Cricetulus griseus: one gene and its partners. The protein of the gene in region 4 purifies or fractionates together with the protein of the main gene of each other region. This does not show direct contact. Links are inferred from orthologs where the notes say so. Each region holds a gene or a part of one and is shown on either strand. Other genes may lie near its edges. The genes, in order: Rassf3, Lsg1, Akap11, Vapa, Ptpn12, Vps13a and Osbpl9.

Evidence for each region.
Region 1: the proteins of Vapa (region 4) and Rassf3 purify together in Homo sapiens (co-immunoprecipitation; 3 studies listed by BioGRID and IntAct, with this or other methods). This does not show direct contact. The link is inferred for Cricetulus griseus from reciprocal best matches to the Homo sapiens genes VAPA and RASSF3.
Region 2: the proteins of Vapa (region 4) and Lsg1 purify together in Homo sapiens (co-immunoprecipitation; 4 studies listed by BioGRID and IntAct, counting the BioPlex papers as one, with this or other methods). This does not show direct contact. The link is inferred for Cricetulus griseus from reciprocal best matches to the Homo sapiens genes VAPA and LSG1.
Region 3: the proteins of Vapa (region 4) and Akap11 purify together in Homo sapiens (co-immunoprecipitation; 3 studies listed by BioGRID and IntAct, counting the BioPlex papers as one, with this or other methods). This does not show direct contact. The link is inferred for Cricetulus griseus from reciprocal best matches to the Homo sapiens genes VAPA and AKAP11.
Region 5: the proteins of Vapa (region 4) and Ptpn12 purify together in Homo sapiens (affinity purification with mass spectrometry; 3 studies listed by BioGRID and IntAct, counting the BioPlex papers as one, with this or other methods). This does not show direct contact. The link is inferred for Cricetulus griseus from reciprocal best matches to the Homo sapiens genes VAPA and PTPN12.
Region 6: the proteins of Vapa (region 4) and Vps13a purify together in Homo sapiens (co-immunoprecipitation; 3 studies listed by BioGRID and IntAct, counting the BioPlex papers as one, with this or other methods). This does not show direct contact. The link is inferred for Cricetulus griseus from reciprocal best matches to the Homo sapiens genes VAPA and VPS13A.
Region 7: the proteins of Vapa (region 4) and Osbpl9 purify together in Homo sapiens (co-immunoprecipitation; 5 studies listed by BioGRID and IntAct, counting the BioPlex papers as one, with this or other methods). This does not show direct contact. The link is inferred for Cricetulus griseus from reciprocal best matches to the Homo sapiens genes VAPA and OSBPL9.

The regions. Positions count from the first base shown.
Region 1 is NW_023276806.1:135,460,596-135,464,095, reverse strand, and holds part of Rassf3 (ras association domain-containing protein 3), read right to left. Parts: intron 2,891-3,500; coding exon 2,781-2,890; intron 304-2,780; coding exon 154-303; 3' UTR 1-153.
Region 2 is NC_048597.1:58,872,325-58,875,824, reverse strand, and holds part of Lsg1 (large subunit GTPase 1 homolog), read right to left. Parts: intron 2,499-3,500; coding exon 2,378-2,498; intron 1,782-2,377; coding exon 1,695-1,781; intron 466-1,694; coding exon 379-465; intron 1-378. UniProt on the Homo sapiens protein: Functions as a GTPase. May act by mediating the release of NMD3 from the 60S ribosomal subunit after export into the cytoplasm during the 60S ribosomal subunit maturation.
Region 3 is NW_023276807.1:232,869,898-232,873,397, forward strand, and holds part of Akap11 (A-kinase anchor protein 11), read right to left. Parts: coding exon 1-3,500. UniProt on the Homo sapiens protein: Binds to type II regulatory subunits of protein kinase A and anchors/targets them.
Region 4 is NC_048595.1:454,567,821-454,571,962, forward strand, and holds the start of Vapa (vesicle-associated membrane protein-associated protein A), read right to left. Parts: upstream 2,801-4,142; 5' UTR 2,723-2,800; coding exon 2,644-2,722; intron 1-2,643. UniProt on the Homo sapiens protein: Endoplasmic reticulum (ER)-anchored protein that mediates the formation of contact sites between the ER and endosomes via interaction with FFAT motif-containing proteins such as STARD3 or WDR44.
Region 5 is NW_023276806.1:173,416,284-173,420,478, reverse strand, and holds the start of Ptpn12 (tyrosine-protein phosphatase non-receptor type 12), read right to left. Parts: upstream 2,801-4,195; 5' UTR 2,723-2,800; coding exon 2,624-2,722; intron 1-2,623. UniProt on the Homo sapiens protein: Dephosphorylates a range of proteins, and thereby regulates cellular signaling cascades. Dephosphorylates cellular tyrosine kinases, such as ERBB2 and PTK2B/PYK2, and thereby regulates signaling via ERBB2 and PTK2B/PYK2.
Region 6 is NC_048596.1:44,422,956-44,426,455, reverse strand, and holds part of Vps13a (vacuolar protein sorting-associated protein 13A), read right to left. Parts: intron 2,496-3,500; coding exon 2,403-2,495; intron 1,814-2,402; coding exon 1,457-1,813; intron 1-1,456. UniProt on the Homo sapiens protein: Mediates the transfer of lipids between membranes at organelle contact sites. Binds phospholipids. Required for the formation or stabilization of ER-mitochondria contact sites which enable transfer of lipids between the ER and mitochondria.
Region 7 is NC_048595.1:40,620,708-40,624,978, forward strand, and holds the start of Osbpl9 (oxysterol-binding protein-related protein 9), read left to right. Parts: upstream 1-1,471; 5' UTR 1,472-1,507; coding exon 1,508-1,618; intron 1,619-4,271. UniProt on the Homo sapiens protein: Interacts with OSBPL11 to function as lipid transfer proteins.

The DNA of each region.
Region 1 (3,500 bases), on a different chromosome or scaffold from region 4:
CTGTGTGACCAGGCTTTGAGAACTGTGTCTAGAGAGAAAAGAGGAAGACCCTAGCATGGCGGGGCACGACAACAGCTCTCTGAGCAGAGGAAGCGGCGGCGGCGCTCTTTCATAGGTCCCGAGCTGTGCCATCCTGGCAGGACGCCCTTGGCCTTAGCCGGGCTTCCACACCTCGCCCAGGGCTTCCTCCAGCTTCTGCCTGTAGGCCGTATAGCGCCGCTTCAGGCTCTGCAGCTGTTCATCTTCTTCTTTGTCCAAGATACGCAGGAAGTTCTGCAGCTCTGGGAGGCTGAAGGCTTCCCACTGCGGGGGACAGAGAGGAATACGCCATGTTAGCTCAGAGCCCGGACACGATTACTTCAGTTCCCCCTCAACCCCCACTCCACAGAGACAAAGGTTCTGCTATGCAGCACAGTCTGGTCTTGAACTCAGGGCCCTCCCGCCTCAGCCTTCTGAGCGCTGCTTTTACAGCATGTGGCACCAAGCCCTGCAGAACACTGTCTATAATAATGAAGTGGGGACTACGGCTGCCCTCAGCAACTATAACGCTCCAGAGAGACATCGGCTCCCCGCATCTGCACCTGGAGTCGAGGTCTTGCCTTCTTCCCTGCCCACAATCTCATCAACTCCTGACAGTTCCGGAGTCCATCTGCTTTCTCACCCAACCTGTATCCCAGCACCAGCCTTCTCGGTCTACTCCTGCCCTCTCCAACCACCCCTGGCACTCCTACACACACAGCCGTGGCAAGCACTCATGGTTAAAAGCATACAGTTGGCACCCACTGAATGTTCACACGAAGCAATGTTGTACCTCCCCAGTCCCATACTCAGTACCCCAACTGGCTTAGGGCATGCTCTAAGGCTTAGTCACTAAGCCTTCGGTCTGTTTCTCCTATTATCTTACCATGGCCGGTTCTATTAACACTGGTTATCCCTAAAGCCAAGACTGCAAATGAGCACTTTTTCATCCAAATTTCCATCAGTGACAAACTGAACTCCATTTAGGACCTCACATGGTCTCCCTTATCACATTTGAGATGGGGGGGGTGTCTCTTAAGTCCCCTGTTTCTTTTACACACACACACACACACACACACACACACACACACACACACACACACACACACACACAGAGCCCTGCTTTGCTTTGCCTAGCAATTTCCTGCTCACCCTTCTCAGAGAGCATCTACCTTCCTGAGAAGCTTTTCAGGGAAGGATCTTCTACCCTCCCTTCCCATGCAAGGCTCTCATTTTGCCACTAAGCAATGACTGATGACAGTCCTTGTTTAGTGTCTCCTCACCTACATCTGCCCTGCATGGCAGCTGGGTGTGTCTCACTACTCGAAGTTCTAGTTCCTAAGAGCACCCCCCCACGTCAGATGCGATATTGCATGCACACACGCACGCATGAGCACACACACGCAGGCGCTACATTGCACGCACAGATGTGCACACACACAAGGTAGGAGAGGACCGTGAGGTGCATCAGTGGGTAATACTATCTCTTGTCAGGCTTGACGACACACATGTCAGAGAGAACGGACTACTGCAAGTTGTCCTCTGACCTCCAAATATGTGCCGTGCCAAGTGCATGAGCACACATCCACACAAAACAATAAAATATAATTAAAACAAGCTTTTTTTTTTTTCTTTTAAAGCACCAACTAGCTTCACAAACCTGGTGATCTGAGTTCCACCCCAGGACCCACCTAAATGTGGAAGGGAAACATCTCCTGGCTGTCCTCCGATCTCTACGTGTATGTATGCTATGGTACACATGCCCACAAACACATACATACACACACACACATACATACATACATACATACATACATACACACACACACACACACACACACACACACATCATCATCATCATCATCACCGTCTATCTATATGTATGGATGCACACACACACACACAGGTTTTCAATTCAGAGTTTCTCTGTCCAACAGTCCTGGCTATCCTGGAACTCACTCTGTAGACCAGGCTGGCCTTGAACTCATAGAGATCCGCCTGCCTCTGCCTCCCGAGTACTGGGATTAAAGACACGTGATACCACCACTCCGCTAATAATAATAAATAATAATAATAATAATAATTTTAAAGGAAGTATTTAGTATCACTTTATAGATCACTTTGAGGGGAAGGCTAGAATAATTAGAAAATTAGCCTCAGGTCTTATCCCCCTCATCTAAGCATAGTGTTTGTCTCCTGATGTCTAAGCCAGCACGCCTGTTCTCCCAGCTTCACGGACAATTCACACTTCTGACGTCTGGGGCCATGGCCTGGAGAGTTTGTCCAGGACCACTGAGAGCTCCAGATGATGTACAGCGCAGCCTGAAATGCTTCTCTGTGGACACCCCAGTACATTGTCCCTGGAGAGACAGGGATGCTCTTGCAAACAGAACTCCCGGGTCCTGGGCTGGTTGAAGAGGGAAGCAGATTTCCTTTATTTCCCTGTAGAAGGAGACTGGCCTGGAGTCTTAGGAGCAGATGTAGAGGGGAGGCCCAGCTGGATCAGTCATGTGGGGCTGGGAAGAGGTGACAATTGCTCTTTGCATAGCAATGAGTAAGAACTGCTATGTCCTCTGGCTCCTAAGGAGGACACAGCAATATAATGTCCTAAGAGAATTATGTTGTACGCTAACGTGGGTTCATTTCAGACGATTCAAAAATCTCACCCCACCCTGCTCCCTCTCGCCCCACCTCCTTGAGGCAATACAGCAGGCCGGCTGTTCTGTGTAGTTTGATGCCTTTGTGAACAGTTCCTCTCTTACCTCTCCAATTTCATGTTCTCGAAGAACAAAACTAAGCGTGTCGGTTCTGGGTCCTGCTACCAAACGCAGGTAGAGTGGGTGTTCCCGGTCGGAGAGCTTGCAGGCATACACTAGGAAAGACGACAAAGAGCATTTAACAGAGGTTGCCAGTGATTCTGAGACAGTGCCCCCCCAAATCCCCATCCTGACATCACAGCAACAGTCCACACCCCCACACCCCATCCTGACATCACATGAACAGTCCACACCCCCACCCCCCATCCTGACATCACAGCAACAATCCACACCACCCACACCCCCACACCCCATCCTGACATCACAGCAACAGTCCACACACCCCCACCCCATCCTGACATCACAGCAACAATCCACACCACCCACACCCCCACACCCAACCTGACATCACAGCAACAGTCCACACCCCCACACCCCATCCTGACATCACAGCAACAGTCCACACCTAAACCTCTACATCACCATTCTCTCACCCTAACACCAAGGGCCCACAGTGAACAAACTGCCCAGTATGCACCATGCCTTGATGAGGAGGAAATGAGTTACAATAATAAAATAAAATAGGAACTTGCCTCAAATGTGGTTACAATTCTGTCCCTCCTGTCAGAAAGATGGAAAACTTCTGTGGGGGCTGGGGGTGGGAGATCTTAACCCCTTTAAAAACAATGAGAATATCTCCACCAAACAACATGAGCCCAAAGCCCT
Region 2 (3,500 bases), on a different chromosome or scaffold from region 4:
TTCATCTATCCCTGCACTGAAGTATGAACCTAGGATGTTACACATGCTAAGTAAGTGTTCTAACAACTCAACTACCCCTCAGACCTAAAAAATAAACACTATAATTTAAGTGTCTATGTGAGTATATACAGGTGCCAGCGGAGGCCAGATCCCTGGAACTGGAGTTATAAGTGGTTGTGAGTTATCTAATGTGGGGGTTAGGAACCAAACGTGAATCCTCTGCAAGAGTCGTAAGAGCTTTTAACTGCCAAGTCATCTCTCCAGGCCTGTATTTCCAGGAGTTATTTTTAAAATTTCTCCAGAGCCGGGAGCATAGTCAACATTAGGCTCAGTAACAACACTGAAATGTCTTCATTAAACAAGGGAAACATTACTTACCTTCTCTCAATGACCCTCCAGAGCTGGCGCCAAAAGTCCAAATTTCGTTCAAAGGGAGTCAATATCAACTTTTGTTCCTCTTCTAGCCTGGCTTTAGAATGAGAAGGTTACATCTCTGTCTCATCAAAATAGTTTTTAAAGAATTATAAACACTCAAATTCAATACATTGAGAAGCTACATATCCAAATACTATAAATTATTATTATTATTGTTTATTGTCCTTGCCAGGCAAGTGCTCTACCATTTAGTCACATCCTAGCCAGTCTTTTACTTTTTTTTGTAGCTTAGGAAGGCTTTGAGAATTTGCAATCTTCCTTCTCAGCCTTCTGAGTAGCTGAAATTACAGGCCTACACCACCTGACCAGGCTCCATCCAATTATTTTCATATACCCATTGTTGAGTCAATACAAGAATAAAACTTAGTCATATTATATTCCACAAATTCAGATTTTATCCTTACACCGCAGGAGTTCCTCTCCCACAACTTTTATAGAAGAATGCTCAGAGGAGTACCTCTGGGCCACAGAAGGGAACTAAAAGGGGCATTGGGAGAGGTGAGAACTCCCTAATGGCTGACTGCTTTGCTTCTCTGATCTTCAGCTTTAACGCAGTAATCTGTCTCTGGGTTTTTATTATTGAGAACAATTGGAATTTAACCTACAGTAAGAGCACTGCTGCTCTTGCAGAGCACCCACATAGCACATTACATCACTCATACTCTAGTCGCAGGGGATCTGATGGCCCCTGATCTTCTGACCCCTGCTGGCAATGTGAGCACATGGTGCGCGAGCGCGCGCACACACATGCGCACACACACACACACTCTCTCTCTCAAACACACACACATAAAATAAATAATAAGAAAAGACTAGGAATAGAGCAGAATAACCACCAAACACCTTTGTGCACAGCTGCACCTGCACCCAGCAATGCTGTCTATACACATACATACATACATACATACATACATTCATACATACATACATACACACACACACACACACTCCCAAACTCACCTGTAATAGACACTACCACCCTCCCCACACCTGAAATTGCATTTTATTTATTTATTTAGCTTGCATGTTTAGAGGCCAATGGACAACTTGGGGGAGTTGGTTCTTTCCTTCTGCCATGTGGGTCTTGAGAACTGAACTTAAATCAGAGCTTGCCGGCAGGTACTTCTACCTGTGGAGCAATCTCACCAGCCCCAGTATTACCCTTTAAAAGAATCAAAACTTCAGGAGGCAAATGGCAATGCAAGCTGAAATGCCTAAACCCAGGGCTTCCAGGCAAATCTTCAGAGTCCAGTACTCACCGGACAAGCTGACGTCTCCATTTTAGGAAGTTATCTTTCTCTGCCTGTTTCAGTTCTTCTGGACTAGTTTTTCTGTCCCAATTGGGTCTGAAATAATCACAGAAAGGAAAAAAATTATATATAAATTACCAAAATAAAAAGAGAATTTGGATGTAAATGGCAGCTGAGAAGCAGGAAAATTATGAACAACTAATAATTTTTTTTATTATTTTATGTGTATGACTGTTTGTGCCTGCAGAAACATCACATGCCCCAGAACTGGAATTACAGACAGCTGAGAGCTGCCATGTAATCTAGTCCTTTATTTATTATGTATACAATATTCTGCCTGCATGTATGCTTGCACACCAGAAGAGGGCACCAGATCTCATTACAGATGGTTGTGAGCCACCATGTGGTTGCTGGGAATTGAACTCAGGACCTCTGGAAGAACAGCCAGTGCTCTTAACCTCTGAGCCATCATCTCTCCAGCCCCATTCTCTGTCTTCTTTTTTTTTTGAGGGAGGGGGTGGTGTAGAGGAAAGAAGTGATTTCAAGACAAGATTTCTCTGTGTAGCCCTGTCTGACCTTGAACTTGGAAATCTACCTGCCTCTGCCTCCCAACTGCTGGGATTAAAGGTGTGTGCCACTACCACCTGGCCCATTCTATGTCCTCTAATGATCTTAATTCTTGTTCAACTTACCTCCTCGGTATAGACAAGAACTGTCTGTTTTCCTCATGGAGTTTCTTAATTCTCTGGCTCTCCTCAAAAGACAGCAGTCCAGATCTAGCCTCAGGGAGCACGAACTTGATATTAAGCTTCTCTATTCAAGGAAAGAAAAATGCTATTTGTCAAGATGCAATCCGGAGGCTGAGGATGTATCAGATGCTACAGTGCCTGCCTAGTAAGCATGAGCCCTGAGTTCCACCCCTGGCACTGGGTGACTGGGTGTAGTGGTACCCACCTGCAATCCCAGCACTTGGGAGTGGAGGCAGGAGGATCAGGAGTTTAGGAAATCAAATTGAGTTTGAGGCTAGCCTGGGCTACATGAGAGTCTGACTCAAAATCCAAAACAGGTCTTTTAGAGTACTAAATGCTGATCATTTTGATAAGTTTGAATACTAACTACTTCCTAAAACAGAATTTATACCTTCTTAGGTTAATTTTTACATTAATTTTTCTATAGAGATAACTTTACAAGAGAAAGATCTTCACTAACTCACTAAAACCCCCCAAACACTAAGACTTCATTGGGTACCACATTATAAAATCCTATGAGGTGAGTGGATTTCAAGGAAATAGAAACAGTGACAATGGGAAAGGATTATAAAGATTCCATGTAACAGTCTCCTCATTTTACATATGTAGAATAGTTTTAAGCTAATAGGAGTAGAGGCAAAGATTTAGCAAAAGACATTCCTTCCATTTAGAACCATCATACTATTATGGTTGTAATTTATATAGATATGTGTTAATGTTCATTATTAGTGACTATATCAAATTAAAAAAATCAAGTGATCTTGGGTGAACTGGTAATAATAGAGAGATGTGTGCTCTTGGGCTCTAACCCTCGGGCTGCTGGAGCAGTTCCTGTTTCACCGTTCAGTCACCATCTAGACTGCATGCATGAGAAGAGAACACAAGGAGGCAGCTGCACTTCCTCCTGAAGTGGCAAGTGAAGGCTCTATTTCAAAGCTAACATCTTCAGCAACAATCCTCTTCACCTTGAGCAAGGGCTGCAGTCTGCTACCCATATCAAACCATCACAACACTAAGTAAGAGCCTGCACTCTTGTAACCTACACTACTGTTAACCCACCCGATTC
Region 3 (3,500 bases), on a different chromosome or scaffold from region 4:
ATGGATCCCGTGTCCTTTCACAAGGTTGGTAGTTACAAAGATGGCTGCCATTTCTTCTTCTTTGTCTTTTATCTACTTCCTGACAATGCTCTTTATTTGAGGTCAACAGTTCCTTGCTTATTTTCACATCAGAGCTGTGCAAAGGGAACATTTTTGAACTGCACTTCCTTTTTACTGTCTTAGCTGCTTCTTGCACTCCAGACTTGACAGATCGATAGGCCAGTCTACTGGCATACTGGTCCATGAGTAGTTCACCATTGCCACCTTCCTGTTTCAGCACTTGGATAACATGACCTGCATACTCATCAGTCACACTTTCACAACTGGGATACCTGTATGTCAGACCTGGCACACAACTTGGTAATGAAAGAACAAACGGGTCTATTTCTCTTGGATACGCAACATCCTCCATATCCAGCTTCTCTTCTGCTCTATCACGGTCAACATCAACATGACAATTGCTCTTCTCCTGCCTGAAAAGCATACAACTTCTAGCGTTTGCAATTTTCTCGGCCTCTGCAATGACATCAGCTGCCAAAACACTTGCAAAACTGCATGTCTGCATGTTTGCATCAGAATGATTTAAAGAAGCAGACAACACACTTCTTTGACTCTGCACATTCAAGTGAGGATTCTGAGCCTTGGATTCTTGAGTGATTTCATGATCTAACTGGGAGGCTGCCATTTCAGTTGCAAGAGAAATGATGTGGGTAGCTAATGCTTCTGCAAAGTGTACTTTCTTTCCTGAGCACTCTGACTTCACATCCATTTCTGGGTGCTCTTCACCTTCACTGCTGTCAACTTCTTCTGAAAGAGATCGCATAAGCTTCAACATGAACTCTTCTTTTTCTATAGGATTTTGTTCATTCTCAGACAAACTGCCAGCAGAGGAGTTGTGAGGTGTAGAAGGTGGTGTTGCAGGTGCAAATTCTTTGGCTAACTCCCCCTTGAGCTTTTTGGTTAACTTTTTTATGTCCCATTCAGAACTAGTCTGGGATGGTACTAAAGGAGTTGATGGAGGAGTATCAGGTATTACATTTCTGTCTCTGATTTTCTGTTTGTCTTCTACATGCAAACCATCTACACAGGTGAGCACTGCAGATGATAAAGCATGTGAGTGACGGAAAGAGCTTTCCAGCCCAAAAGACAAGGGTTCAAGTGTAGTATTATTCAAATTATGCCTTTTCACTGGTTTATCCTTCACAAGTTCCTTCAAGTCAGATTTCTGACTTGACATCATTGAGCAAGGTGGCAGTGACTCTAAAGAAAATCCAAACCCCACAGAATCTTTACATTCTGGAACACAATGCTTTCCGGCCAAGAGTGAACAGTGAGGTAAGTGATCTGTAAAGCCAAGAAATTTGGGAGATTCCTCCAAGATCAACTGAGATTCTTCCCCAAGAATAGGCACAAGTTCCGTACTAACTGTTTTGTTATCTATATTTGGAAGCATTGATTTGCTTTTATCCAGGGAATGTTTAATAATTGACTTAGATAACTGCTCAGCAAACATGTCCTTACTGCTAGCTTTGCTCTGTTGTGGTGCTACTTGGTCACAAATGGAAGGAGGACAGACTTTTTCCTTTGTTTTAGTTAAATAATCTGAATGTGCATCAACAGTTTTTGTAGTTTTGAAGGTTGTCATGGACTCTAAGGTTTCACTGACTATTGAATGTACCATTGCTGCCGAAAAGTTGCTAATAATCATAGAGCCACTAGTTATTTTTGAAGGACTCTGTATGTCAGTATCACCGTTGGTAGGTTTGAAGTCATTCTGGTTACATGGATTGAGTTCTGATGGTAGAACAATGTCTCTGAGACAATCCACTTCCTCTTCACTGCTTTCTGTGGTGATGTGCTCTTGGGTAGAACCATCATTTGCTTTACTATGCTCAGATGATGGATGAGACCTAGACTGATACAAAGTAGATGAAATATGATACGGGAGAAGAGCACTACCTGCCAAAGGTACTGGTATGGAAGTGACAATTCCAGAAGTACAAAACAAGGCCTGCTGCACTGTATATTCCTTCTTATGTTCCTGCACTGGCTTTGTCATAATTGCTTGACTGCTGAAGGATGAGGAAAATGTGAAGGTCTGTGTAGGCAGCACTCCACTTTCTGCACTCGCATAATTAACATTACCCATTGAAACATTAACTGCTGCCTTTGTTGTGAAGGTCACATCAGTCTGTGACAGCTCTATGAATGCTTCTTGTATTACAGATTCAGACAAATCTTTGGCATATGACTTCACGACTTTGTCTTCAAAGTCAAATGATGGACACTTTGATGCAGGTGTTGGAGGACATGAAAACTGACACACTTCCATGATGCCTTCAAAAACAAGCTCTTCTGCAAGGTCCGCGGCAAACCTAGCAACTGTGTTTGTAAACATCTGCTTTTTCACGTACTGCAAATCTTTCAAGGCATTTGATAAGGCTTCACTAACCAAAAGACTTGCCAGGCTACCAATGGCTCGTTCTTTCAGTGAAAATGCACACTGCCTTCTAAGTTCGTTAAATGCCATCTGAAAAACAGATGATGTCAATTTGACAGCAAAGTGGCACAATGCATTGGTACATGAGGAAACTCCTTTCTGTAAGTCTTTAAATGCATTGCCAAAACTTCTTCCTACAAGATCTGCTGCAAACTTCTGAACGCTGTCTGTAATCACTGAAGATTTGTTTTTATATTTACTTTTTTGATCAGAGTTCCCGTGCTTAAAAGCGACAGGATAATCTTCTCCCCTTTTAATACTATTAGTATCAGACATTGCATTTACACACTGAGTATGAAGAACTGAGCCTAGTACTTCATGTGAAAGATTATTTGCATAATCTTCATAAGTGCAATAAATAGGATCCTGGTTTTCATAGCTCCTATCTCTACCAATATCTGTTTGGCAAAAACATTCAGCAGGAGTACAGCTTCCAGGAGGACTAAAAGCAGAGGCTCGAATAGGGCTAAACAAGCCACTGTCTTCTGATGCCATCACTGGACGAGGGGAATCTGGAGCATCACACAGGTGTCCATATGGAGACTCGGGTTTTCGTGGAGTTGGCTTTCTAACATTAGCTGGAAGAGCTGGACGCTCAAACTTGAATTTCTGAGGATTCATACAAGATTTTTCATGTTTGTGCCCAATCTTCTGCAATGACTTCTCTATATCAGGATCTTTCATAAATGGACAAGAAGTCTCTAAAGTTTGCTCTAGTTCATCAAACTGATCAAAGCTATCAAAAAACTCACTCACTTCTGAGTCTGAATCCTCTATATCATCTTTTGTCACAGGGATTTCAGGCAGTTCAAGTTTTGCTTTTAAACTTTTTTGGTATCCCTCTTCATCCAAAAAAATTACAGGACTTGGGCTTGAGCACTCAGACTCTGAGGAGTGGGCAGGAGAAGAAGGAAAGAGTATCTCCTGTGTGTCCCTGCCTTTATCTGAAGCACTGGGTGACCTGTAGAGACTCCTTTGGGTCCAGGGTTCTGAAACTGAT
Region 4 (4,142 bases):
CAAATTTTGTAATACATTAAACTTTAAGGACAAAAAAGCTTTTTCCATGAAACATCTAATTTCAAATCTAAATTACTAGTCAAATTGCTGGTAGGGTCAAAAAAAATGTTTTACGATCTTTTTATGCACAAAAGCACTAAAAGGTATGCTTCAGAATTCATTCTACAACCATAAAAGGTTTTCTACATTTTGCTAGTTAAAATTTTACTAAGATGGAGATACACACAAAAAAATATACCTGCTTTTCCAAAATCGTGAATAGTAATAACTCTTATCAAGTCATTACTCATGTTAAAGGAGAACTGTCAATCTCAGAATGGTTGAATGAGTCACTCCTGAAGGTACCATCACAACATAAATGTTGAATCCAAATAATTCAAATAAACCTACCAAATAATCAAAGAATTTTGCAAAGGAAAAAGCGTAAACAACCTACACTAAATGAAAAAAAAAAATCAGTTAAATAATTTCTGATATAGTCACCAAAGGATGCACACTTGGATCCTAAATCACCCTACTAGTGTAGAGCTGTGCATTTAAAGACAGACGTCTCCATTGTACAGAGTAATCTGTGACTGACAAAGTAACGTTAAGGAGGAAAGCGCCAAACCCCAAATGTCACACTCCTACTTCGCCCTCTCCCTATCGTCTCTGCTTGGCCCACCTTTACAAGGACCTGCACTTTAAGTCTGAAGTCTCCTCTCCTCAGTATTTACCCCTCCCTTTGCATAACTCTCCCCAGCCCCCGGCCGCTTCACAAGAACCTTTTCCCTTAAAAGATTCATTCCTTCGGAGAAAAGCTGCTTTCCTCAAACACCATTTATATCATCTTTTTGGTCTCCCTCACTAGTCTTGGATTGTTATTTTGATAACACAATAGCCTGTTGGAATTATTTAACGTCAGAAAGAAACGAGTGGATAAAGCACAATGCACTATTTCTTCTGGTTTTTAAAACCTGCCTCCTAAAATGCTTTTCACACAGGCTATGCAGTTCAGAAAATTTCCTCGTGAACTGTCAAAGGGGAAAGCAAACTACAGCATCATGAAGATTTACATTAAATCGCTTCAACTAATGATGACTACTTTAGTACAAACACTTGAAGGACTTCTCTGCATACCCCCACCCAACCCCCTTCCAAAAATCAGGCAACAGAAATTTGCTGCAGCAAAATGTACGCAAAGTATCTGAGGTTCTGAGGCACTGTCTAGTGTCTATGTAACCCAGTCTTGTTTCAAACGTTCCATGGTTCCTGGCTGGCCTCCAAAACGCCGGGATTAGAAGCGTGGTTGACCACCCCTAGTTTCAAAGGTATTAATTAGCCCTGCCTTAAAAAATCAAGCTCTTGTCAAATGAGGAATCCTGTAAGTCTCCATTCAGAGAAACCTGTAAATGCACCGAACACCTGCAGTGTAGGAAGTACTGCTAGCAAAACATCAAAATCTTTGTAAGTCCTAAACTATTTAAAATATAATTTAAAAATGGTTCCCACGGGGACAATCCAGCTATTTTCATTCGGACTCAATCTTACACAATCATGGACTCACTGTTTCTTTTAATACTAGAACTGCCATGCAACAACCCAAGGGAAATCGTTCTCATCACAGTTCCTAAAATTAAAACCCCAGGTATTAGCTAAAGAGAGGGAGGAGCAGGTCCTTTTAGCTCCACATCCTATCAGGAAACCTTAAAAATTAGTACGCTGTACGGTTCAAGCTTCTCTCCCCGCTACGTAGCCCACAAACCCACACACACACGGAGACGCCCAGGGCCCTGGATCTGAACCGTCCGTGCTCCACCGTCAGCAGCCCCGGCGCGGCGTGGCACCTTATCAGCTTTCTCGGGGTATGCTGGGAAACCGCAAACGCTCGAGTCGCCGACACCGAGAACGAACCCCTCGGCAAAAAAAAAAAAAAGACGGCGTGCTCCCCCGCCCTCCCCGCACCCCGGGGCTGGGAGCCCGGGTGACACCGGGGACCCGCTACCCGCGACCTAGAGCGCTGCAAACCCCGAGCTGACGCACACGCAGCCTCCCGCCGCGCGCTTGGGGCCCTGCCAGCGCCCGGGGTCAGTCCCAGCCCGACAGCGCTGGGGGCCTGGGGCGCCCCCGAGCCCCGCACCTGACCCGGGAGACCCGGGGCCAGGCCCGCGCCCGCCCCGCCCGGCCCTGCGCGCCTCGCCCGTGGCCACCGACGGCCGCCCGCAGACGCCGAGCGAAGCTGCAGCTCCCGCCGCCGCCCGCAACGCCCGGGGGCAAGGGACGCCGGCGCGGCGGCGGGTGGTGGGCGAGCAAGGCGCGGGCGGGTTCCCCGCGGCGCCCCGCGGGCTGCAAGATGGCGACGGCGCGCGGCGGCGCCGGGCTGAGCCCTCCGCAGCGCCCTGGCTCCCTCCCCTCCCTCCGCAGCCCGAGCGAGCGAGCGGGCGGGCGGCGGCGGAGAGCGAGGCGCCGGCCGAGGACGCAGCGGGGCCGACGCTAGGCGCGGGCGTGGGGGAGGGGAGCGCGGCCCGACCGACCCGGCCTCGCCGCCGCCGCCCCGCCCGCTCGCTCGCTCCCTCGCCCAGACGCTCGCCCGCCCGCCCGCCGACCCCGGCCCCCGCCCGGCCCCGGCCCGGGCCCCGCTCGGGCGCGTCCCAGCCGGCTCACCTTTGAATTTGAGGTCGGAGGGCGGCTCGAGGATCAGGATCTGCTCGTGCTTCGCCATGGCCCCGGAGGCGGACGCCATCGGAGACAGCGCAGAGCGGCGGCGCGCGCGCCCGCGGCGGCGGCGGCGGCGGCGGCGGTTCGCTGGCGGCGGCGGGCGGGGGCGGCGGGCGGCGAGCGGCGGGCGGCGCCGGCGGGGCCCTAGGACGGGGCCAGGCTCACGACGGGACTGCCGAAGCTCCGCGCCTGCTGCCGCCGGGGCCGCGGGTTCCGAGGGCCGCCTGTCGCGCCAGCAGCTCCGGGTGTCACAACCGACTCAACCCCACACCAGCCGCCGCGGCCGCGCGCGCGCACTGCCGGCCTCGGCTCCCCACACGTGACGGGCTGGACGCGCCGACGTGCGCGCCGCCGCGGCCCGGAGCCGCGCGCCGGCCCGCCCTCCGGGCCTGACCGGGACGAGGCGGGGCTAATGCGCCTGCGCGGGCCCGGCCCGGGCTGCGGCTCCCGGCGCCGTGCGGCTGTCAGTCGTGGCGGGGCGGGGCGGGGCGGGGCGGGGCGGGCGGGGCGCCCGGCCGAGAAGCGTCGTTCCCGGTGCCCGGGAGCTGCGAGCGCGGAGTGCCGAGCTGGCGCGCCCACGACGCGGGGGCCTCACGGCGTTCCGAGCGGAATTCCGAACGAGAGGCCGTCAGGAAGGCGCCGCGGCCCTCGGCTCCCGGCATGCTCCGGGCGGCGGGAGGGCGGGGCCTGCGCGCGGGGGCTGCTGGGAGCGGGGAAGGAGGCGGCGGTCCGGTCCGTTGCGGGCGGGCGGGGTCGCTGGCTTCGGGCTGGCCCCGGGGCGTCTCGTCGGCCCTGGGAGAGGAGGAGAAGGGTTCCGCGGGCCCGCGTCCCGGTGGGAAGGCGGCGGGGCCCTCCATCTCGGGCCTCCCGGGGTTCCAAGCCGGCCTCCTCCCTCCCTCGTCTACCCGCAACCGAGCAGAGCCGGACCTAGAAACGCGCACCCCGCCCCAAAGCAAACGGGAGCCCGCGGGCAGGGGCGAGCGGGCGAGCGGGCGGGCCCCCAGCGTGCCGGCCGCCTCCCCTGAGGAGACAGAGCCTGTGCGCGAGGAGAAGCAGGCCAGGCAGCAGAGAGGCTGGCAGGAGGAGCAAACACAACAAATGGATGCGCTGTAAAACATGCACAGATAAATAAACCTTTGCTGCGCCCTGTGGTGCTGCCTGCATTTAAATCTCTAAGGAAGCTCCAGGCGACAAGAAGCACCCTAGACTCCCCAGGACGCCAGGGTTGGAATGGGTCGTCCCCACCCCTGAGGGTACCACAGCTGCTTAAGACTTTTTCAGTGCACTGCCCCTTTTCAGCTGAGAAGTTTTTAATGCCACTCTGGGTGTCTAGGATACATAATAGTGGTACAAAGCAAACACTGATAATAGATTGTAAAGAACTTTAAGGAATGACACTCCTTACTTGGTGTGTTAAAAAAAAAAATAAGACAGACCAAAAACTC
Region 5 (4,195 bases), on a different chromosome or scaffold from region 4:
TCTAAGCGGTTAAATAAATCAATATAATTAAACAATTACAATATATATACTTATACATTACTGATGAATGGCTGTATAAAGTAACTTTTTTAAAGTTGTAAACATATGTAAATGTTGTATCCAGACTTAGTACTTCCTGTACAGAGATACTAGGCAATAAACAATGCACAGGCTTTATTCATATTTATCAAAGTATTTAATAGAAAATACAATAGACTAAACAGTCAACTATAAGCAAATGGTTAAACTGTTTAACAGTCACATAGTGACACAGCTACTTAAGTTATTCCTAGAAAGTGGTTGTAATTAATAAAAGACACCAAAATCTAAGTTAAAAAACCCCCAAAGACAAGAATGTAACACAGGTATAGTGGGCTCAGACATTTAATCTCAGTATTAGGGAGGCTGGGGCAGGGCTACCACAGGTTCAAGCACAGCCTGGATTCAAAGTGAGATCAGCTCCTGCCCCTCATTACTTTATAGAAACAGCTGTAACAGTGATAATACCTTCTAAGACTCTGCTATACAATATTACGATTTTAAAATGGAGTTTTTATCCACATCAGAACGTAAGAATAACCAGTCAGAATTTATCGGATTATCTTTGATTCTCTTTCCATGACAGAGGATAGTTCCTTTCCAGCCTTCTAGTCAAGGGAAAAAAAAGCACTCAACTGCCAACAGTCTTAATTATAGCTGTTGCTTATCAAGCCAGGAAATAAAAAAAGCAAGCACTATAAAAGAATAGAATTACCTAGCTATACTTTGGTATTATGGAATAGGAACAGATTTGGTCCTTGTGAAATGACATCTTCAATAGAAATCCCCGACTCAGCTCCAAAGCAAGAACGGCCTACATCACCACACACAGTGCTCCTTGAAGAGTATGTCCATGAACAGCAAGGTGACAAGCATGCAAACGATGAGCAGCCAGGGACCACATGGTCCCTTCCATAATCAAGAAAGGCTGAGGGCCATCAGTTTTAAACATCCTAAATAAACTGTTTTCTTCTACATTTCCTATAGGGTAGTAAAAAGACTATCCAATTTTGTAAACGACATCATTTAAAATTCTTGATGGTAGAAAGGGGAAATTATACTTTAACCTTTATAGATCAAAAGTCCCTTTTCCAAACACTACCTAAATAACAAAAAGTTTAAAATACAGGATAACTGGATTATATGATCTACCCTTTTCAGTCGTCACCATATATTAAACAAAGTCTTGGTCCTACTTTCTGTTTTTATAAATCGGAGGTGGAAACCATAAAGCTGCATAATACTATCAATACCGTGACAACTTTAACGCTGAAGTCTTAGTAGACAAAACCTACTTGTGTGACCTCACCTGCGTTTTGAAATAAAAAGCGGCAACCACGTTCCGTGCCCACTCGTTTCTACAGACCTCAACTTTTCCTAACCATTATTTCAGACTTAACTACATATAATATATATATATATATATATATATATATATATATATATTATATATATATATTCCTTCCAAGTGCACCTTGTCTAGGAGTACTTTTTTTTTTTTTTCCTAGCTCATTTCCCAGCCCCGGACTTCCCAAGTCCCATTTCCTTTTCCATGCCCCAGACCTCCAGGGTTCCCAACGCCCCAGTCTTGCGCAACATCCGCAGGAGCAGCCGCCGCCGCCGCCACCGCCGCCTCCTGAGCCGGGAAACAACCCTAGAGGGAACATTGTCCGGCAGGCAGGAAAATACACGGAGCGGGAGGGGTGGCGTAGGAAGTCTCAGCCTTGGGGACTGACACCCCCATCCATGACGCACCGCAGCGATCTCACCCCCGTGACCCAGGGCCCTCGGCGGGAAGGGGAAGGGTATCATGTCCCGGTCCGGGGCTCCGGCCCCTGGAGTCGCCTCCACCCCAGCAGGACCATTGTTCCCGGCTCCCCGCCCCCACCCCGGGTAGGAAGCGGTAGTCACATCCCCTCCGGTCCGCAGCCAGCTTCCTTCAGGGCAGCCCCGTGCACACCGACCCCCACCCCGACCCCAACCCCGACCCGACCGGACCTAAAGTCATCCGAGCCCCACAGCCACCTTCAACCCAGCTCTCGGGAAAAGACTGTGCGGGACAGACGGACGCCGGTCAGGTGAACCGCGAGACACACGCCTGTCTGTCTTGTCTGCCTGTCTCACGGACGACCCTGGGCGAGCGGTGACAATAACCGTGACCTCCTCGCACACCGCACGTCCGTCTGTTCGGACCGGGGGCCGGCCGCTTCGTCTCGACCCTCCGGGGGCCGGCGGGTGGGGAGGAAGGCAGTCGTGGGAAGGAGAGCCCGCTTGCACGCTCACCCGCCCGGGAGACAATAGGTGTTGGCGGGGCCGGGGCCGGGGCGGGCTGGGCCCCGACCGCTCCCTCCGCTCCCGGCGGGCGGGCGGGCGGGCGGACGAGCGCAGCCCGGGCCGCGGAAGAAGGAGGCTGAGGGGCGGGGGCGACCTCGCCTCCAGCAAGCTCGCCCATTGCGCTCGCTGCTAGCTGGGCGCGCGACCCGCACACAAAGCGCTGGCAGCTCGGGCCGGCCGGGCGAGATTCGGGGCGGGCGGGCGAGCGACACGAGGCGACGGTGAGGGCGAGGGCGAGGCGGACACTCACCATGAAGTCCCGGGCGAAGTTGTCCTCCCCATTGTGGTCCGGACTCTTCATGGCCTGCACCCTCTGGATGAACCTCCGCAGGATCTCCACTTGCTCCATCCTCCCGCGTCCCCCCCGCCGTCCGCCCGCGCGCCGCAGCAGCGCCCGCTCCGTCTTCCCCAGCTCGCTCCGGCCCGTCCGCCCTCCCTCCCTGTCTCACCCTCCCTCCCTCTCCCTCTCTCTCTCTTGCTCCTTCTGTCCCCGCCGCGCCCGGCGGTGCGGCTGCGGGGGCCCCGGCCGGCTCCCCGCGCAACTTGACGAGGAGCGGCGGCGGCGCGGCTCTGCAGTCTACGGGCAAGCCGCAGGCTAGCGCCGGCCCCGGCCCCTTGCCTGCCCCATCCTCCGTCCCCGCCCTCCCGGCCCCAGACGCCGCCGCCGCCGCCGCCTGAGGAACGCGGCTCTCCGCTCGCCCTGCCCCCTTCCGGTCCTTCCTCCCCCACCCCCGCGGCAGGCAGCCGCAGCCGCTTTCCCCCGGCGCCCCGCCGCGCCGGCCGCCACCCAGACGCGCGCGCGCCGAGCGCACGCCCCGCCCAGCCCGCCCGCTGCTCCGCGCTGATTGGCTGGAAGCAGCTTCCGGGGCGTGTCCCTGATGGGGGGGCGCTCTGCATCGGCAAGCGGGGCGATCCGGGTGGGTCACACGGTGAACTTCCGAGGGGCCTGGCGCTCCCCTGGCGGAGGGAGAGCGGACCCCAGCGCGCCCGCTCGCCCGCTCGCCCGCTCACCCGCTTGCAGGACCCCGCCTGCCCGGCCTGACTGCCGCCGCCCGCTGGGTGGGACCGAAGTATGCTGGGAACTGTAGTAGAGTCCCCGCCGCCTCTGCCCGTGGGTGCTCCCCTAACTGAATGAGGCGTGGTGAAGCGCACCCCAGGCCTTCTGTTTGCAAATCCATTTTAACCCCAGTGTGAGCCAAAGCTTGCAGAGTGCTTCCTTGACATCACATGCACGGAAGGAACCCTGTTGGCCAAGTGGGAGACGATATATCTTCCTTCGTCCGCAGAAGAGCCTCTGTGACTCCCATCAGAGAGGACGCTGAAATAATCTGTCCTTTCACAAATAAAGTGATTTTCCCCAAAGTACACCCCCACCCCCGGCATATTCGTGTAGACTCAGAACTAGAGCGCAAGTCCCTCTCCTTTGACTCTGAGCCGCACACACTGCCTCTCGAAGGGACGAGATTTTGTGGTGGTAATGTTGCACAACTGGGATTCGATCCATAGACTGACTTTGGTCCCCTACAAGCACAAACAACATGTTTTCACAGAGCAGGTTGCCAGGAAAGATAGGGAGTTAAGATAGGGAGTATCAATGCAGGATACATTTCCTGAACTAATGTTTGGCAGCACCATGAACTTTAGTTTGAAAAAGTTGACAACAGATGTGAGTAGCAATATACAATTACATATTAAAATAAAATACAGAAAATAATGCACCTAATATATGCCAATACATTTCTCTCAGAATTATGTCCTTGCAGGTGTGTCCTTCCAAATCTTTCTATTCCCTACACTTTTTGTATCTTTCCTTTTTTTTTTT
Region 6 (3,500 bases), on a different chromosome or scaffold from region 4:
ACAATTTTAGTGTTTGAATGCCTGGCACTTCTTGGATGCCTCAGATAAAGTCCTGTACAAAATACACATAATTCTAAACACAATTTGAAAATGTGCAGTAGTCAAAATCAATTACAATTGTGTTAGTACATAATTCTTTATCATTTCATGTAAAAATAGAAACTTTTAAATATCAACTCTCACTCTTTTAAGGTAGATAACCAGATTGCTTTTCAAAAAATATCAAGAACAATAATTTTATTTAAGTATCATTGGAGAAGATTGTATAGACTTTCTTCTGTTTCTGCAGTACTGGTATTAAAATTAGTGCTATACACACATTAGGTATACATCCTATTACTAACCTATATTCCCAGTCTCTTTCTTAAATTAATTTTATCTGAAATATCCATGGAAATAATTTTATAAATTCTGAGGAAAACATGTTTACTCTGATTCTTTTTTTTCCTCTTTAAAATTTTGGGAAAGTTTGGGATTTGAGTATAATGTCTCACACATTCTAAGCAACTATACACTTCAAGAACATCCTCATTAGAGACTCTTTAAAACTTGAAAGAGCTTACTCAGGTATTCATAAATTTAATCTACCTTTCCAAAGGAAAAAAAATCAATTTTAGATCTTAAAAATCAGAATTTTTAATTTTATATATGCATATATGTGTTTGACTGTCTGTCATGTGTGTGCCTGTGCCCAGAGGTCCAAAGAGGGAGTTAGATTCCCAGAGAGATAGGGCAGAGTTGCAGGCAGTTGTGAGCTGCCTGATATGGACTCTGGGAACAGATTCTGGTTTCTGGAAGATCAAGAAGCCCCTAAATGATGGGGGATGTCCTTCTGTATATATGTTTCTCTTATTGGTTGATGATCTTATTGGTTGATGAATAAAACATTGTTGGCCAATAGGCAGGAAAATAGGCAAGACTAGGAGAAGAGGAGAATTCTTGGAAAGGTAGGTAGGCACAGTCGCCATGTAGCCACCAAAAGAGGAGAAACAGGTCTGGACATTCTCCAGTAAGCCAAGACCACATGGAAATACTTAGAATTATAGAAATGGGTTAATAATTAAGACAGAGCTAGTCAATAAGAAGCCCTAGTCATCAGCCAACAGTTTCATAATTAATACATGTCTCTGTGTGTTTATTGTGGGGCTCAAGGGTAGCAGGATCTGCGAGACAAAGAACCTCTTGTTACACATACATACTAGGCTGTCTCTCTAGACCCTAATGTACCACCTTGGAGGTTTGTAAAAATCAGCTGAAACATAAAGCATGGGTATGTAATTTGAAATTTAAAGTAATATATAAGCAACCGCTCAAGGGCATAAATGTGTAAGCTTTCTTCTAAAAGGTATAAAGCCAGTATCAGTATTTACAATAAACTAAATTTAAATAGTGATATAAGATCCCAGAATATTCTGTGTGAAGCATCTTAAACCTGAAAAATTATATACACACTTACTTCCAGCTCAAGCTGAATGTGGAGATTTATTAAAGTACTCCAGTTTTTGCTTTCCCCCAAAAGGCGTGACTTTGCCAATAGCATCGGCACTGTTCTATGACCAATTCCAGCTTCGAGAACTATGAAAATAGAATCAATATTCAAGTTCAGTGTCTCTCCTCCTGGCATCAATTCACTTGTGGGAACTACTTTTTCTGTTTCATTTGATTCCTCTAGAAACCACATTTTCAGATTCTTAGTATCCTTCTTGTCCCATAAATGTGCTATAGAAGAAGTCTTTTCTTCTGGGATGGTTTCTTTAGTTGTATAAAGCACAGAAGTAATAGTTATTATGGTATTTATGATAACCGGTGAAACCTAAATAGAAAAAACAATTTTAAAATGGATTACATATATTTGCTGAATGAACATGAAGAATTAAGGCCAAACTAGAAAAGCACTACAGGACAATAGATAATTTTTTTTTTTTATTTTTTGCCTACCATAATTTTTTACTACAAAAATTTTTAGATAAATTTGTCAAAGTATTTGTAAATATTGTTTTTATTAACCAACTAAATATGACTACAATTATATATATCCTAGATATCCGCTACAAAAGTCGTATGTCAATAAACTATAGCATTCATCATAAAATTTACAACAATATCTTAGAAACTTTTCATATATATATATATCCAAATAATTATTCATTTTGTGAGACAGGGATTCTAACTTGGGCCCTGTGAATGCCTACAGAAGTGCTTTACCATTGAGCTCAGTCTTTTTTCTGGTGGTAATGGTAACGGTTAGACGGGATCTTACTAAATTGCCCAGGCTGGCTTACACCTCAGTGGTCTGTACTTCAGGCAGGCCTGGAACTTATGATTCTTATACTTTAGCCCCTTGAGCAGCTAAGACAGATCTACCATCAAATCAGTTTTAAATGTTTATGTTTTTAGCTTACCTTTAGTGTAAGAGATTTTACTGATATGTCAATCATTTGTGGATCTGTTCCAATCTGAGTAGCCTGATAAAATAAGTCACAAGGCTGTAAAACCTATAAAATACAAAATATTATTAAACTGATATTTAAGCTAAAATGTTTCCACTTAAAGTCTTTCCTCGTAATAGATAATAACATTTAAAAGTAAATAATCATACTTATAAGTGAATCAATACACTATTATTTGCTATAAAAAGAAAGTTTGGCTCTACAATAAACTATCTCCTATTCCCTTTGAGAGTCGTGGGTTTTTTTTTTTTTTTTTTTTTATGTATTGACAATTCCCATGAAACATCACTTGACTCTAAGAATTTTAGAGCTTTAATGCTGACATGTTTTTACTGGCAGGGTCCCTAGGCAGCACATGTAATCACATGTCAATAGATAAGGAGTGTACATATGTACACACACAAACACAAACCTACCTTAACATTTAAAAAATATGCTTAAATATTTGAAAAACATAGGAAGCTCTTAGTACGTCATTTTTTTTACCAAAAGTCTATCGTACTTTTTACATACAGTAAAATAAGTGTGAAAAGGCCAATATTATAGGAAAAGCTAAAACTGCAAAGCACTAAGAAAAATAATAAGTATAAATAATCACTAGGAAATTCTGAGATTATAAATGAACTTTTTCCTAATGATGGAAAGCAGAACTGTAACCACTAGACCCTTGATTGTCACTTCTCTGCCAAGTGATATTTCACCATGTTGGAAGTTTCCTAAGGGTCTCATTCTAACACAAAGACCCAAATCTCTTCAAAGATCTAATGATATCTCATTATATACCTTCATCTGTACCTTTCCTTTTACTCTAAATGCAAAATCTCAATTATCTTTTAATAATTCCTGGACAAACATTAGGTGTGACTTTGGGGGAATAACTTCTCTATGGAACTGTAACACTAAGAGTGGGTAATCTGCCTTAATTATTAGTAATAAACAATGGTGGAAAGATACAGGGACAATAGTTACAAGTAGTTCAATTCAAAGTGACTCTTATGTCAAACACATTTCTTGATTCAAATTCTAATCGTAGGAATAATTTTTCGTATC
Region 7 (4,271 bases), about 410 Mb from region 4:
GCTGGACTGAAGCCTGTCAGTCATTATATACATTTATATGTATATATGTATGTACACACACACACACACACACACACACACACACACACACACATTCCATATGTTCTGCTACTCTAAAGAACTTTGATTATTATAGCAGGGGTGGAGCGCTTGCCTGGCATGTATGAAGCTGTATGTTTAATTCTCAGTCCTTACTGGGTTCTTTTCCTTTACAGTACAAAAAAAAAGTATATGGTTATTTTTGCCTGCATGTATGTCTGTGTACCACATGTGAGCCTGGGGCCATGAAGGCCAGAAGAGGATTTTGTATCCCTGGAACTGGAATTACAGATAGTTTTTAGCCTTCATTTAGGTGCTCGGAATCTGACTTGGGTCCCCTGGAAGAGCAGCCAGTACTCTGAGCCATCTCCCAATCAATCACTGCATTCTTAAAAAAAAGAATTCTTGCTCTGGGTCGTGGTGGTGCATGCCTTTAATCGCAGCATTCAGGAGGCAGATCTCTGAGTTTGAGGGCAGCCTGGTCTGCAGAGTGAGTTCCAGGACAGCCAGAGCTACACAGAAAAACCCTGTCCCAGAAAACCAAACCAAACCAAATGAACAAACAAAAAAACAAGAAGAATATTTTTAGTTGACACTTGCCTTTAATCCCAGCACTTGGGACGCAGAGGTAGGCAGATCTCTGTGAGTTCAAGACCAGCCTGGTCTACAGAGTGATTTCCAGAACAGTCAGGACTACAAAGAGATTCTATGTCAAAGAAAACAAAAAGTTCTTATGTGAATAATCTTAAAGAATGTCTTATGTAGTCCATATTACTCTTGAACTCATTATGCAGCCAAAGATGAGCTTGAACTAAAAAAAAAAGATTTATTTTTAATTATATGTACTTTTAGCATGTGCGTCTCCGTGGGATAGTGATATTTGCATGCAAGTGAAGGTGACCTCAGTTCCAATGGCCTGGAGTTTATAGGCAGTTCTGAGCACCCCCCACCCCTCGTGTGGGTGCTGGGAACAGAATTCGGATCCTCTGCAAGAGCGGTACTTGCTCTTAAACCGCAGTGCCTCGATTCTGCTTTTGAGATTACGGTTCTTCCTTCCTTCTTCCCTCCCTCCCCATTTCCTCTCTCCCTCCCTTCCTCTTCCTTCTTTCCTTCTTCCCTCCCTCCCTTCTTTTTCTTTTTTTTTGGAGACAGCCTTACTTAGCTGAGTTGGCTTTGAACTACTGACACCATCGCGCACGGCTTGGAAACATAATATTCACGCTTGCTTTCTTAGCTCGCTCTCCCCCATAACAACCCGCTCTACACACAATAGGCAAAGAGAGAAAGAAAGCATGCTTGACTGTGATTGCTAGGGGCGTGGGTCCACCGGCTGCAGGAGGCCCCGCCCCTGACCCCGCCCACCCAAGTCCCGGTCCCGCCTAGGCTCTCCGGGGCCCCGCCCCCTGCATGGCGAATGCCTTATAGGCGACTGACGTCAGGCCGTTTGTTGTCATTGGCGGCTCCCAAGATGGCGTCTATCGTGGAAGGGCCGCTGAGCAAATGGACTAACGTGATGAAGGGCTGGCAGTACCGTTGGTTCGTACTGGACTACAATGCAGGGCTGCTCTCCTATTACACGGTGAGTGGCTGAGGCCGCGCGGCTGGAACGGCGGGCTACGGGGAGCCGGGACGGGGGTGCTCCGCTGTGGGGACCGCCGTACGCGAGGTTCCCTTGTGGAGGAGGGCTTTGCGTGCGGGTAGCCAATGACCAGGAGGGAGATGCGGACCCAGCCAGTGAGCAGCGCCGGCTGGCTGATTCATGGGCCGGGGGGCGAGCCGGGTGCCTCAGGGAGTGGTACCGGGGCAAGGTGGGGTCTGCGCGGTGGCGAGGTGCGGGTGGGCGTAGCCCCGGTGCTGCTTGTCAGCCGTGCGATCCACACTTTCATCCCGTTGCCTCCCTGCTGGACACCGGCCGCACCCCTTAGTTCCTCCGGGGTTCGAAGAGCGCTGCCTTCTCGCAGCAGTGGTCAGACGAGCCTGGCCAGGTCCAAAGGTGACCCTCGTCAACAGCACGGGCTCTCAAGTCCCTCCCGTCTGTCCAGCTCCGCAGTCCTACATACTCTGGGGATGCACCCTTCTTCTTTCCAGCGGGGCGCGAGTGTAACGGACTCTTAACTTTTGAGAGCAGAGGATTCCCTCTGCGCGAGTCTTGGCTCTGGTTGCGGAGATGTAGACAGGGATGGTGCGGTTGCCTTGAAAGTTGTGTTCTGGGGAGGGCCGACTATGCGCTTTGACTGACTGTTGTTGGCAGGAGTCCGTGGCCCTGGGTAGGTAGATGAAGTGCTGTGAAACCTGTGTTCTGACTGCCTCTTCCACCCCCAACGCATTAGGGATGGAAGGTGGATGGTGTTAGAGAAATTACTAACGGGGCTACTTCTTTGTATAGTTAATGATCGCCTCTGAGAAAAAGAAAAGCACTCAGGAGGACAAAATATAGAATGTCTTGAAGGCTTTAGAAAATGATAGAAGAAAAAGGAAGAAATACAGTTATGGGAGAAGGGTTAGTGTTGATGAGAGAAATAGGGATACATAGTTTATTCATTCATTTAAAAATATCATTGAGTTTCTGTTCTGCTTGTTCCCATGTCCTCAAGAATCAACAGCGGTGTAGGCACTGCCTGTCTTCTCGAGAGCTTTTAGTGTAGTCTAGTGGGCACCTTAATTCATTTACTTGTAATTCATTTGCAAGATAGGTATTCATTATCCCCATTTACTGTCCCTATTTTACAGTTTTGGAATCCGAGGCTTCAGGCTTTTAAGTAATTAGCTCAAGATCACATAGGTAGCTATAAATGGTGGAGGCAGGATTCCCATCAAGTTATTCTTTTGCTACAGGAAGGGAGAAAAGTAAATGCTGCAAGTCATTAAGGTGGGCCTGCAAGAGTAAAAGAGCATTGCCTTTGTCATTCTTCCGATGTGAACTTCTTGTCTCTGCATCATCATCACCATCATTATTTTGGTTTTTCCAGACAGGGTTTCTCTGTGTAAGCTTGTCCTGGAACTCACTCTGTGGACCAGGCTGTCCTCAAACCCACATAACTCTGCTTCCCAAGTACTGGGATTAAAGGCGTGTGCCACCACTGCCCTGCTATTATTTTCATTTGTTTTGGAGCCCCGGGTCTTGAACATGCTAGGACAACACTTTACCACTGACCCAAAATTCCTAGCCCCCCTTTCTACATTAGTTTTAAAAGATCAAACTTTACTGAGACATAAACATTGCTCAGAGTTGAATATAGTGACCCATATATGTAACCTCCTAATTTCCACGTTTTGGATTGCAAATTTTAAGGCTAAGCCAGGCTAGGGTACTTAATGAGACCTTGTCTCAAAAAACAAACAAAAGCAAAAACAAAAAAACCTCAAACCAAAACCACTCAAAAGCAAACACACACACACACACACACACACACACACACACACACACACACACACACCACATTGTTTAAGATTATATAGGATGGAAAACTGAAGAATTATGAAATCCTATGACTCAAAGAATAATATCAAGTGAATGTGATTATCCAGCAAATTCCATGGAACCTAGCCATCGTATTCATGATGAAGTAATTTCAATTAGTGGCACTTTAGAATTAAGTTCCTCTTCAAATTTGTGTGTGTCTGAATCTAGGGCCATCCTGCAGAGGTCCCAAGTTAGGGCTCTAGGGAGCTCCTAGCCCCGACAAAATGTTCCTTTTCCTTGTTTTCTTCCCCCCACCTCTATCCCTCTCCCCTTCTTCTCCTCCTTCCTCCCTCCCTGTCTCTCTTGTCTTCTTGTCCTTGTAGATTTGGAGTGCTTGGACTTCTTGTCCTTCTGACTAAATAGAAGTTTTTCATAGACTTCTTTTTTCTTCCTTAGTACTGCCCTCCCTTCTGAGATTAGATTCTATGAAACATCCTTGCTAGGGGAAGGATGGATCATATTTCTCACTAATGGCTGTTTAGAAACATTTCTCCTCCATGCTTCTGTTATTTGCTTTCAGAGAAGTGTACTAGCTTGTGAGAATAAAATGATAGCCCAAAGGAGAGTAAGAGTCCAGTTGAATTCGGGCATCTAGTTCTGTCATTGTTTTAGTACATCAGACAAATTAAATCAAATCCAACAGAGCAGCTGTCAGTTAGTGACGATGCCTCTGTGTGTTCCCACTTCCAGACACTTGCCAGTTTCTGGGTACGCTCCATGAGGAAGAAGGCTCTGACTCTTATTCATATACATCTTTCTTATTTGCAAA